Callithrix jacchus: one gene and its partners. The protein of the gene in region 1 interacts with the protein of each later gene in a biochemical or structural test. Links are inferred from orthologs where the notes say so. Each region holds a gene or a part of one and is shown on either strand. Other genes may lie near its edges.

Region 1 (4,085 bases):
GCAGCCTTCGCTGTGCCAGTTCAAGGGCCTCGTTCTCTCAAAGTGGTGGGATTGAAGGCGTGGGTCACCGCGCCCAGACTCAGGTGATTTTTAAACAAGTCCGGCCGTAGCTGCAGGTATCCTGGTTCTGTAGGAACGACGAAGTATGGACGGATCCACACCTGGATCTATGGATGGGAAGGATCTCAGGGAGGCCCTGGACGGAGGGAAATGCTCTGGTTTGCTAAGCCTGGCACCGACTGAGACCCACCCACAAAGCGACCCATGGAAGTCCCTGGCGGCCTCCTCTGCTCTGCCGCGGGGGAGCCCTGCAGGTGGCTCCCGACCTGCTCCCGGGCCATCTGGTGACGCTGACTTCGCAGCCACCACCTTAACTGGCGCGTAATACCAACCAGGGAACCCGTGGGCGGCCAGAGGCCCGGCTCTACGGTCAGCCCGCCCAGGCACCTCTCCCTGCCATGTGAGGCCAGAAAGTTACTTCTCCGAGGCTGTTTCCCGTGACCAGAAATACCTCCCGCCTGAGGTTCTGTGGGGTAGGGGAGGTTCGTGCACTTCTCACAGAAAACGTCGCACAGACCCGCCACTGCCTTTATTAAGAGCTCTCAGGAGGCTGCCTGGAGCCGAGGGTGTCTCCGGCCCCATGCTCGCGGGCATCAGGGCGAAGCTGTGCCCCCGAAAGGGCCAACGGGAACTCCGCGGTCCCTGAACTTCCGGCGCTGGAGGGCTCCTCGCTCAGGGCTGCCGGGAGCCGCGGCGTGAGTGCGTGCCGGGGCCGCGCGCGGGATCTCTGAGGCCTCGAACCTCAGGGCTGTCGGAGTCTAGAGATGCAACCACGCTAGAGAAACGAAGGCCGCCCGATTTACACCACCCCCGCGCTCCCCTCACACCCGGCGCCAAAAACGCTAGTCCCACGGCGCAGGCTGGGACCCGCGCGCCCACGGCCCAATCAGCGCGGGCCTTCCACAAAGCGAGCCCCGCCCCCACGCCGCTGCTGCCAGCACCTCCCCCTCCCGTGGCCGTCTCGGCCCGCCCATTCCCAGCCCCGCGCCGTTCTTGGTTAGAAGCTCGCGATTGGCTCATAGGGACGGCCGCGAGCTCTGGTTGGCCGGCGCGGAGTCACGAGGGCGTCGTCGTCGTCTTTCCACAGGCGATTACTGGGCAGGCTCTGTCTTTCGCCTCAGTCTCGAGCTCTCGCTGTCCTTAGGGTGTACGTGCTCCGGGATCTTCAGTACCGCGGCCGCCATCGCCGTCGCTTGGCTCCCTCTGGGCTCATCTGCGTCACTTGCTCGCTCCACACTCCGCCGCCATAAGCTGTCGTCATGGTGAAGCTCGCGAAGGTAAGCGGCCTTGAGTGCGAGCACCGAGATCTAGGCCTGCTTTCCGAGGGGTGAGCGCGGCGCCGCGGGGAGGAGGGCCTGCGCGCAGTCCCGGCCGCGTTCGAGGGCGCCATGCTGCGGGAAGTCTCGCGCGATTAGTGGGGAGGTCTCGCGGTTTCTGGCTACTTGGTGGCGAGGTGAAGAGCTTCTGCAGGTGTTGGGGGCGGCGAACGCGGCGGGAAAGACAGAGTCACTGAGCGCGGGGAGGGGGCGCTAGGCCCCGGGGCAAGGAGATGAGACCAGACTCATCTCGCGTACGAGATGCGACGCGTACGAGCTAGAACCCGACTCCTGACGCACGTGCCCGGGAGCGCGGCCTGCCACGTGGGCCTCGCCGCGTGGGTCCGGGAATCTCCAGAGGGAGTGGTGCGTTAGGGTGGGAAATGGCGGTATCGGCCCGAGTCGGAGGACCGGCTGCGCTCGGGATGTCTGCCCCTGCCCGGCAAGCCGACACGTGGTGGGCCCCGGAAGGTGGCTCTGCCGCGGTGTTTCGGGCACGTGGTGGCCTACCAGGTACCCCCACGTGGCCGCGCCGCCTCTTTTAGGGGCGGGGTTGTCTCGCTGGGAAAGGAATAACGTTCATCAGAAAACCAAGGTATTTTTTTTAAGTGCCTTAATGATCTTCACTCATAATTTGGATTTGGATTTGGATAAGGGTTGTAGAATAAGGTTCCGGGATTTGAAGTACTAAAACACGGGTGTACTTAGAAAGCCTAAGGAAAAAAAAAAGTCAAACCTACGGTAAAAAGTCAACCTGAAGAAATGATTTCTTCACTTCTTCAGGTTGACTTTTTACCGTAGGTTTGATTTTCTGTTTGTAGAGCCTGACAGCAAACATGTGTGGGCGGTTGAGAGCAGGACCTCTTGCATTGCCATTAGGGCTAGTTTTTATGTTAGTTGTGCTGTTTGGCCCTATGAGAAATGGATCTGAGGAAGGAGATGATGGCGTTTTACACTGAACAGTAATGGCAAAACGTGAATGGCCTGAAATGTCGAAGTGAAGATGTGATGATGTACTTGTTACCATTTTAGGCAGGTAAAAATCAAGGTGACCCCAAGAAAATGGCTCCTCCTCCAAAGGAGGTAGAAGAAGATAGTGAAGATGAGGAAATGTCAGAAGAAGAAGAGGAAGAAGAAGAAGAAGATGATAGCAGCGGAGAAGAGGTAATTTCATCCAACTCAATGCGGAATTAAGTTAAAACTACAAAATGGGGAGTTAGGACATGAAATTGGATGTCTATGATAAAAATAAGATTTTATTCATCTGCGTATCTCCTGTTGTAGTGATCGAGTGTTTCACAAGCTCTTCGTTCATGTCAAGATGTCATTTGGCTAAATATTTGAATGTGAGTTTGAGACAGATCTGGGGATCTCCTTTCCATGTGCCTCTGCAGGGCTTGGAGTGTGATTTGTTGTGCTGAATCGTTACATTTGTCCAGTTTCAACATGTTATCCTCACCCCCACATTTTAGACACAAGGGAAAGATCTGTTCTCTCAATGGCAGAGCTGGGCGTTGTATTCAGATCTGAGGATAACCTTACCAGATTCCTTTCCTAGGCTCCATTTAAGATTAATTGGTCTCTATTCCATTACACTACTCACTGTGTTACTGTTGTCTCTGGTGTAGACTGAGGGCTGCCACCGCCCTTTGTGTTAACGTTTACCCTCTAGCACTCCTGGCTATTTATTTGTTCGCTATGAAGACAAGTGAGGACTGAATTGTGCTCAGACTTCTCTTTGAGAATTGAATAAAAGTTACTTTTCCATACATTGCCTGATAAAACTAGTAATCAAAAAGCAGATTTCAGTGGGACTTTATTAATGTAGCTAAATGGTGGATTCATCGTTTTGTAAGGGATATTCAGCCTATTTGATCTTCATTTCATCTCGTATCTTAAGAATTGAGCTTCACCAAGCTTGGTACCAGCACCTACTGTAGGAGCCTCAGATGATTTAATAACAGTTAATGCTTGGAGCCTCCTATGTGTACGGTTGTGAATAATTTACACATAGCAATTCCTGTTCCTTAGACATGTAAGGATGATACTATTACCATTTTCAGGTGAGAAAGTTGGGATTTGGGAAAGTATGAGGTATGAGAATTCAGAGGTATTTTAAGTGTTCAGAAGGGTTCCTTATTCCTAGATATTCACCTGATAATATGGAGTTTAACATGGTAACGTGTGTCTAGGGCTTGTGGTCTTGAACCATAGGCATTGACAGAATCTAACACTAGTTGGGACCATGGTTGTCTTCTTACTGGTTTGGTTTTCATTTATTCTCAAGGTTGTCATACCTCAAAAGAAAGGCAAGAAGGCTGCTGCAACCCCAGCAAAGAAAGTGGTAGTTTCCCCAACAAAAAAGGTTGCAGTTGCCCCACCGGCCAAGAAAGCAGCTGTCACTCCAGGCAAAAAGGCAGCAGCAACACCTGCCAAGAAGACAGTTACACTGGCCAAAGCAGTCGCCACACCTGGCAAGAAGGGAGCCACACCAGGCAAAGCATTGGTAGCAACTCCTGGTAAGAAGGGTGCTGCCATCCCAGCCAAGGGGGCAAAGAATGGCAAGAATGCCAAGAAGGAAGACAGTGATGAAGAGGAGGATGACAGTGAGGAAGATGAGGATGATGACGATGATGAGGATGATGATGAATTTGAACCAGCAGTGGTGAAAGCAGCAGCTGCTGCCCCTGCCTCAGAGGATGAGGACGA
Region 2 (3,614 bases), on another chromosome or scaffold:
AGGAAGGAGAAACAGCAGACACTGTGGGTTGCTGCTCACTTCGTGTGGAGCACATCAATCTACACCCAGAGTTGGATGGTCAGGAATACGTGGTAGAGTTTGACTTCCTTGGAAAGGACTCCATCAGATACTACAACAAGGTCCCTGTTGAGAAACGTGTAAGTTAATTTAGCCTGTATTGTCTGGCTTGTTTTTCATTATTCAACAAGCATTGCTTGAGTGCTTTGTGTCCTCTGCAGTTTGCTGGGTACCAGCAAAAGTGACTTGAGACAGGCATTGTAGCACATGCCTGTAGTCCCAGCTACTTAGAAGACTGAGACAGGAGAATCACTGGAGACCAAAAGTTTGAGGCTATAGTGTGCTCTGATCACACCTGTGAATATCCATTGTACTCCAGCCTGGCCAACAGAGTGAGACCCTGCCTCTAAAATTAAAATAAATAAATGACTTGAAAGAGGGGAGAGGTAATATTTGATGTCTTGTGTACCTCCTTTTAGTCACTGTCCCACCCTGTATTACCTTTCTGATAAGGACATTTGTCACTTGGCATCTTTACTTAGCCTCTCTCCAACTCCTGACTGAGTGAAAGGTTAATCTGTTAGTCCCCAGATCCCACCACTGAAGAGGGTGCTAGAGCTCCATAGTCCCAACCTGATCTTTTCCAAAGTATTGGGCTGGAACCAGAGACCTGTAGTGTGCAGGATACTAATAATCCAGCCCAGCAGCAGTCTCAGATTTAATCAGTAATTAGACTTTGCTGGCCGTGGAAGAGTACTCTATTAGATGCTAAAGCGATTTGACAATTAAATGTAATGCCTGACCTCAGATTGGATTCTATACTGATGAAGTAAAGGGCATCATCAGATAAAGTGACAAAATTGGATTGTGGACAGTAGATTAGATAACAGTAGGTATCAATGTAAATTTTTGAAGCTGATAAATACTGTGTAAATGTAAGGGTATATCTATTTTTACAATGTACAAACTGAAATATTTAGGGTTAAAGGACTGTATGATAAGTAAGTACTTATAAATGGCCCAGAGCAAATAATTATGTATATATATCTGTAAATATACATGCGGAGAGAGTGAGCATACATGTGCCCTGTGCAAATGATGAATGAGGTAAAAGGTTAACAGTGAATCTGGGTGAAGGATGTATGCATGTTCCTGTGCCTTTTTTTTCTTTGCAAGTTTCTGTAAGTTTGGGATTATTTCTAATGTAAGGATTTTTTTAAAAGAGTAATAATTGGGATTCACTTATTTCTTTTAGGTTTTTAAGAACTTACAACTATTTATGGAGAACAAGCAGCCTGAGGATGATCTTTTTGATAGACTCAATGTGAGTAGACAAAGCACACTGGGTTGAAGGGATTCCCAGCCAGAACCTCAAGGGGAGGGTTGCTGGCAGATAACGGGCTCTTCCTTTAGCCTGGCCTGCTCTGTGGCATCCTGTATACTCTCTCTTCCTCCCTCCAAGCCCACGGTGAATCTGTGGCCAAGAGAAGACACATCTGCTGTAGAACAAATGCTAAGGCCCTCAAGGTGAGAGTAGATGAACCCTACCTTTTATCCCTTCCCTGCTCCTGCAGAGCTTTCCCTTCACTGAATGCCCAGCCATCCCTACTGGAGACCCAAAACCTGTGCCTGAGATCTTGATAGGGAAGGACAAATTTGCTTTATTGGTCTGTTAAGATCAAAATACTGGGCCAGGCTTGGTTGCTTACGCCTGTTATCCCAGCACTTTGGGAGGCCAAGTAGGGCAGATCCCTTGAGGTCAGGAGTTTGAGACCAGCCTGGGTAACATGGCAAAATCATTATCTAGGCGTGGTGGTCCATGCCTATAGTCCCAGCTACTTAGGAGCATCAGGAGGATTTCATGAGCCCAGGAGGTGACGGCTGCAGTGAACCGAGATTGCACCACTGCACTCCAGGCTGGGTGTCAGAATGAGACCCTGACATACGTACACACACATGCACACTGAAATACTTCATAGAGAGGCATTATGTAACCCTGTATTCTGGAATTCTTTTCCTAACTTCTCACTTGTAGGGAAATAAACTTGACACGATTGTGACTGCACTGGTATAAATTACTCCTAGGGCTGCCAGAAGGAGCAGGTAGTACAGCTTTGACCTAAGTCTCTGTTACATTGTCTCCTCCAGACTGGTATTCTAAATAAGCATCTTCAGGATCTCATGGAGGGCTTAACAGCCAAGGTATTCCGTACATACAACGCCTCCATCACGCTACAACAGCAGTTAAAAGAACTCACAGCCCGTAAGTATTACTTGGCTGGACAGGGCCCACACCCCTACTCATGGTATCCGGTGTCCTTGCTTAGCTAAGTCCTAGAGTCAGTTCTACTTTTTTTTCCCTACCATTGTGATCAGACACTTTTCCTCTTTAGACCTCTAATAGTTAGCTAATGCTTAGTTGTATAAACTTAAGATCAGTGCTGTTTCCCCCTTCCCACCCCAACTTCAAGATTAATTTCATGGATTGCTGACAGCTTTTTACCTGCTATGAAAATACCTGCATTTGTGTTTTATTAATATATTACTTAAAAGCTCACAGAGTGAAGGCAGTGCTGTGATGTTCTGTTAAATTGAAGAGAGTAAAGTTGTCATGTTTATGAGAAAGATACAGGGATAAGTCCTTTCCCTAAAGTTTCTATCATTTTTTTTCCCTGTAAGAGAGTAGATACTTTCTATAGCCAATTTTTAGAATATTATCACCAAGATCACGGACTTTTTTTTTCCTGGAGCCCAGTCACTAATGAATTTCCACTGCCCTCTGTAAATACGTCAAATGGCCTTAGAATATGAACCAGAAAAGCCAGAGGTAGGTATGTTCAGGTCAGTGTTTTAAGGTGATAGAAAGAATGCGACACTGTTTATACAAGTAAAAACAATTTTTTTGGATGACATTTACAATTTTTCTTTTTAAATAATATACTACCAGGCCAGGTGCAGTGGCTCACACCTGTAATCCCAGCACTTGGGTAGCTGTGGCAGGAGACTTACTTGCACCCAGCAGTGTTCCAGACCAGCCTGGGCAACATAGTGAGACCTCATCTCTACAAAAATTTGTAAAAATTAGGCAGGTGTAGTGGTAGTCCCAGATACCTGGGAGGCTGAGTCCAGGAGTTTAGGGCTGCAATAGCCACAACCATACCACTGCATTCCAGCTTGGGTGACAGAGTAAGACCCAATCTCTAAAATAATAATAATCATAATAATACTACCACTCATAGCTTAAATTTTTTTAACTTTTAACATCTCTTCAGTTCCTCATTTTGTTCAGGCTACATTGGGTAGAGAGATAGGGAGGCAGGGAGGCAGGGAGTGGCCAGTATAGAACTTAATGAATATGGGCAACAAACCATAGTAATAATAGCAGCAGCACCTATGACAAGCATATGGGTAGGGAGGAAGCAAGGAGATGAAGGGTCCCTAGCCAAGTTCTCTGAGTAAAAAGAAAGGTGTAGATTTTATTATATTACCTCAGAGTTCCTCTTGTGATGGGAATTTACCCAGGCCAAGCTTACATATTAACTTCCTATTTTCTTATGACTGTTGGCTCAAATTTTGATCTTAGGCGTTGGAGGCAA
Region 3 (4,249 bases), on another chromosome or scaffold:
CAGATGATGTGAGGTCAGGAGTTTGAGACCAGCCTGGCCAACATGGTGTAACCCCATCTTTACCAAAAAATAAAAAAATTAGCTGGGCATGGTGGCATGCATTTGCAGTCCCAGCGACTCAGGGGGCTGAGGCAGGAGAATCTCTTGAGCCCAGGAGTTCAAGACCAGCCTGGGCAACAAAGGTAAGACCCCCGTCTCAGGCTGGAGTGCAGTGACACCATCATAGCTTACTGCAGCCTCAACTTCCTGGGCTCAAATGATCCTCCTACCTCAGCCTCCTGAGTAACCGGGACTCCAGGCCCCCACCATCACACCTGGCTAAATTTTGCATTTTTTGTAGAGATGGGGTCTTGCCATGTTGCCCAGGCTGGTCTCAAATCCTGAGCTCAAGCAATCCACCAGCCTCCCAAAGTGCTGGGATGACAGCCCTTAGCCAAGAAACCCTGTCTCCCTGAATGAATGAATGAATGAATGAATGAAAGGCTTCAGGCTGAGGACTTTCATTCTCGAAGGTGCTGAGGAATTGTTTGTAATAGTGGATGCCTGGAAGGCAGTGGGGAGAGGCTTCATTTTTCAGTCCCGCTGGGGCCCAGGGCACGAGTTGCACTTCGGCAGACAAGAGCCGGCCTGTTTTCAGCAGCATGTGTTGCGTTAACAATGTAAGAAGAAAATGGAAAGAATTTGAAAAATCGCTGGGGTATGCAGAAGAAGGGCTCCCAAGTCTGGGAGGAGGGGACATCAAAGCCAAGTTTTTGTTACCGGTCAGCTGCCATGTCAGGTCCTGGCCGAGACCCTCAGCCTGCCTGAGTGGGAGGGGTGCTAAGTGGGTCCTGTCTGTGGGTGGTGGGCGGCGGGGCGGGTCTCAGGGGGCGGCTCCACTTGGGCCCTCTGCGGCCTCAGTGCCCTGGGACGGTGGCGTTTGTCGCTTGCTGTCCGCCCCTCCCAGGCAGGGATGGTGTGAGCGCGCTGGTCCCCAGAGGGGCACACACACCTTCCTTCCACGAGCACCCCCGTGCCCATGGTCTTGGTGGGCTCAGCAGGTGCCCTCTGCGCCCGAGACCCCTGCGCGGCCCCACAGTGGGTATGCAGGCTCCGTCCTGGCGCATATGGCTGCACGAGGGTCTCACCCAGGACGTCCAGGTTTTGGGGGTGCCTCACGCCTGGGCAGGTGGGGCGCTGAGCCCCGGATAGGGGCAAGCGGCGGCGACTTCCCGGAGGGTTCTTGGGGCGCTCGGGCTGGGGGGTGCCGGAGCGGCCAAGGGAGGAGGCCACACGCCCGCCCGTCCGCGCCGCTGGGGGCCGCCCGCGGGCCTTGCCGGCCAGAGCGCAACGTGCGCCCCGGGCCCCGCGCCGGCACTGGCTGAGCGACCGCGGCTGAGACACGAGCAGTGGCGGCGGCGGCGGCGGCAGCGGCGGAGGGCGGGAGGAATGCGGAACCTGCGAGCGGGCTGAGGCCGCCCGGGATGGCGCAGGGACGGCGGCGGCGGGCGGCCTGCACGGGGTCCTAGCGAGCCGGGCGGACGCTCCCTGCCCCGGCCCCGGCATCGGCATCGCGGGCGCATCGCGGCCATGGCCAAGGAGCGGCGCAGGGCGGTCCTGGAGCTGCTGCAGCGGCCGGGGAATGAGCGCTGCGCGGACTGTGGCGCCCCGGGTAGGTGCGGGCCGGGTAGGCCCTGGTGGGTGGGCGCAAGGGTCCCGGGTGGGCGCGGGGGTGCCGGGGACTGGGCGGGCGGGGGTGGAGGCGCAGAACACCGGGCCAGGTCGGCGCTCGGGTGGGGCCCGGGCCCGGCTGCACCTGCGGGGACCCAGACGTCTCCCCGGGCCGGGCGGAGCGGAAGGCGCCTCCCGAGGGCCCCAGAGGCCCCCCGGCCGCCGCCTCCCCTCCCCTCCCCCGCCAGGCTGCGTGTCTCTCGGTCACCGTGGACCGCCCGCCGCGTTGCGAAAGCTCAGGCTCCGCATAGAAAGAGGAAATTGGGGCTAGCTGCAGGGAGGGAACGGACTGCCGGCCGAAGGGCTCTGCCGGGGTGCGGGGTCCGTCGGCTCGGGGGCCACCTCGGGGTGACGTCATGCCTCACCCCCTCCCGCCTGCGCTGGGTCGGGGGTCCGTGGGGGTGAGCGGCGCCCCTCCCCCGCTGCCTGCACCTGGCTGCTCTGGTGCAGGTGCCAGGACAGATGGGACCTCGGAGAGGTGGAGCCGGATGCAGGTCGTGTTCACCTGCCGCCAGTTTTCCTGGCCAGGTATCCCTGACTTGGTTCCTTGCACCCCTGGTCTGTGGGATGTCAAGGCACTGGAGTCCAAAGGCGGGGAGTCCCTCCCTTCCAGGCCTGGTCCTGCCATTGGCTGCAAAAGGGCCCAGCGCCCAGACCAGCCCTGCCCTGCTCAGAGCTGTCAGCCCCAGGCCATTTGTCCTGTGTGGAGAGGGACCTGCAGGAGCAGTCCCACCACCCCGGGCACACCAGGAATCTGGGGGCCAATTGCCCAAGCCCCTCGGAGCAAACCTAAACTCACCAGCAGTGGCCCAGGTTGGGGGGCGGGGAGGGGATGGAAGACCCTGCATTTGCCCCCAGGGTCCTGGATCAGCATGCAGCCTCTGCACACCTGGAAATAGGACCTGATTCCCTCAGCAATGGAGGGATCTCTGCCAGCCCCAGGTCTTGGTGGCTGCTGTCCAGCCACAGTGTGGCTGGAGAGGCCACACCAGGAGCTGGGGTGGTCAGAGGGGGACAGTCACAGGCTTTTCTGGAAAGACAGGTTGGATCCACAGCCTTTCCATGGCCTCCTGAAGCAGGATGGTGCAGGGTCTGTGCCATGGTGTGATGGGGCGGCCCCCTGGGCTTGCTCACCCCAGACTCTCCCCACTGACCCCCAACCTTTATTTCCGCCTGTTCAGGAATGCTTGGCCAGAGAGCCAGAGGAAAGGGCCTGGTGTGGGGTTGCTGTGGCCCAGCAGGAGGGAAGCTGGGTTTGTCTCTGAACCTCTGGCCACACAGCCTGGGAGCAGCTTCTCTGGATGTAGAGCCCCTCTCCAGCCACCCTCTGGGCCTCCCAGCCTGGCAGGAGGAAGAGGGGACTTCCCTAGTCTGCTGGGCCCTTCAGTGGCCCTTCTCCTCCCAGTGGGTACAAGTGTGCCTCGACCACCTGCTATGCTTCCAGCCTGCCCACCCCCCGCCGAGCAGTTCTCGCCCCCCCATTCCCCATGCTGCCTGGCACAGGGCCGCACCTCTGCTTTTTTAGAATTGGCTCATGACCTCAGTGTCTTGCCTCCTCTGTCGGGTAGCACCATGGAGTGGGGATATTGTGAAGGGTTGCTCTCATTTCTCAGTCAGGGAGACTGATGCCTTGCAAACTGGAGCTGTCTTAGGGGACGTGAGCCCCAAAGGTAGACCAGGCCTCCTAAGGCCGGGCCACACCCGGCCACTGTGCTTATCCCCGCTCCCAAGGGCTATGTCCATGGGGTAGAATGGAGGTATCAGGAGGTGGGGGGCTGCCCAGCCCCCCATGATCCCATGGCATATCCTGGAGGGCTCTGTGCTTCTTTGCTGATGCTTGCTGCTCTGGGGCCTCCCATTCCTGCTGTGGCCCGGCAGGGTGAAGAGGAGCCTTGCCGATGTTGATAGGGGCTGGGGTGACCGACACTTTCTGCTGTCCTCAGAACACCGTCCTATGCACTGGCTCACAGCTGGTACAGACCTGGACAGCAGTGGGACATCAGACAGGCCCAGGCCTGGGGGTGCTGGGGTGGACTTGGACAAGCCTCACCCACTGGCGGTGTGAGGGAGGCAGTGTGGGGATCTCTGCAGCCTCCACAGAAGCTCTTTCCAAACTCTCTCCATTATCTATCCCAATAGTGGGTTCCCCTGGCCTTGAACAGGGGGCCTCACCCAGCGGCCACCCAGAGAGCCTCTCATCTCAGGCCTGGCAGGTAGGTGAATGGGGATGTGCTTGGATCCACTGTCCTACGAGACCTGGGTGGGGGTCTCCATCCTAGGTGGGGGTTGGGGGAGGGAGGAGGTGCCTCTGCATCCTTGGAGCTGCCTGCTGAATTGCAACAAAGAACAGGGACCGGGTGTGCTTTGGGAGGCTAAGCCAGGAGGATCCTTTGAGGCCAGGAATTGGAAGCTGCAGTGATTTGTGATCACACTGCAGGCTAGGCCAGAATGAGACCCTGTCTCAACTAAAGGAAAAAAAGACAGATTCTCCTCTTTGAGTCTCAGCCCGTCTGATGCCCTGGAAGGACTGGGGTGTCTG

Evidence for each region.
Region 2: the proteins of NCL (region 1) and TOP1 form a complex in vitro, tested with the Homo sapiens proteins (2 studies listed by BioGRID and IntAct). The link is inferred for Callithrix jacchus from reciprocal best matches to the Homo sapiens genes NCL and TOP1.
Region 3: the proteins of NCL (region 1) and ADAP1 form a complex in vitro, tested with the Homo sapiens proteins (2 studies listed by BioGRID). The link is inferred for Callithrix jacchus from reciprocal best matches to the Homo sapiens genes NCL and ADAP1.

Annotation. Positions count from the first base shown.
Region 1 is NC_133507.1:152,901,801-152,905,885, reverse strand, and holds the start of NCL (nucleolin), read left to right. Parts: upstream 1-1,179; 5' UTR 1,180-1,319; coding exon 1,320-1,337; intron 1,338-1,749; exon of another isoform or gene 1,750-1,971; intron 1,972-2,408; coding exon 2,409-2,540; intron 2,541-3,663; coding exon 3,664-4,085. UniProt on the Homo sapiens protein: Nucleolin is the major nucleolar protein of growing eukaryotic cells. It is found associated with intranucleolar chromatin and pre-ribosomal particles. It induces chromatin decondensation by binding to histone H1.
Region 2 is NC_133506.1:36,462,056-36,465,669, forward strand, and holds part of TOP1 (DNA topoisomerase 1), read left to right. Parts: coding exon 1-158; intron 159-1,273; coding exon 1,274-1,342; intron 1,343-2,166; coding exon 2,167-2,281; intron 2,282-3,614. UniProt on the Homo sapiens protein: Releases the supercoiling and torsional tension of DNA introduced during the DNA replication and transcription by transiently cleaving and rejoining one strand of the DNA duplex.
Region 3 is NC_133503.1:58,060,095-58,064,343, forward strand, and holds the start of ADAP1 (arf-GAP with dual PH domain-containing protein 1), read left to right. Parts: upstream 1-1,355; 5' UTR 1,356-1,569; coding exon 1,570-1,651; intron 1,652-3,849; exon of another isoform or gene 3,850-3,923; intron 3,924-4,249. UniProt on the Homo sapiens protein: GTPase-activating protein for the ADP ribosylation factor family. Binds phosphatidylinositol 3,4,5-trisphosphate (PtdInsP3) and inositol 1,3,4,5-tetrakisphosphate (InsP4). Regulates the incorporation of CD63 and CD9 into multivesicular bodies.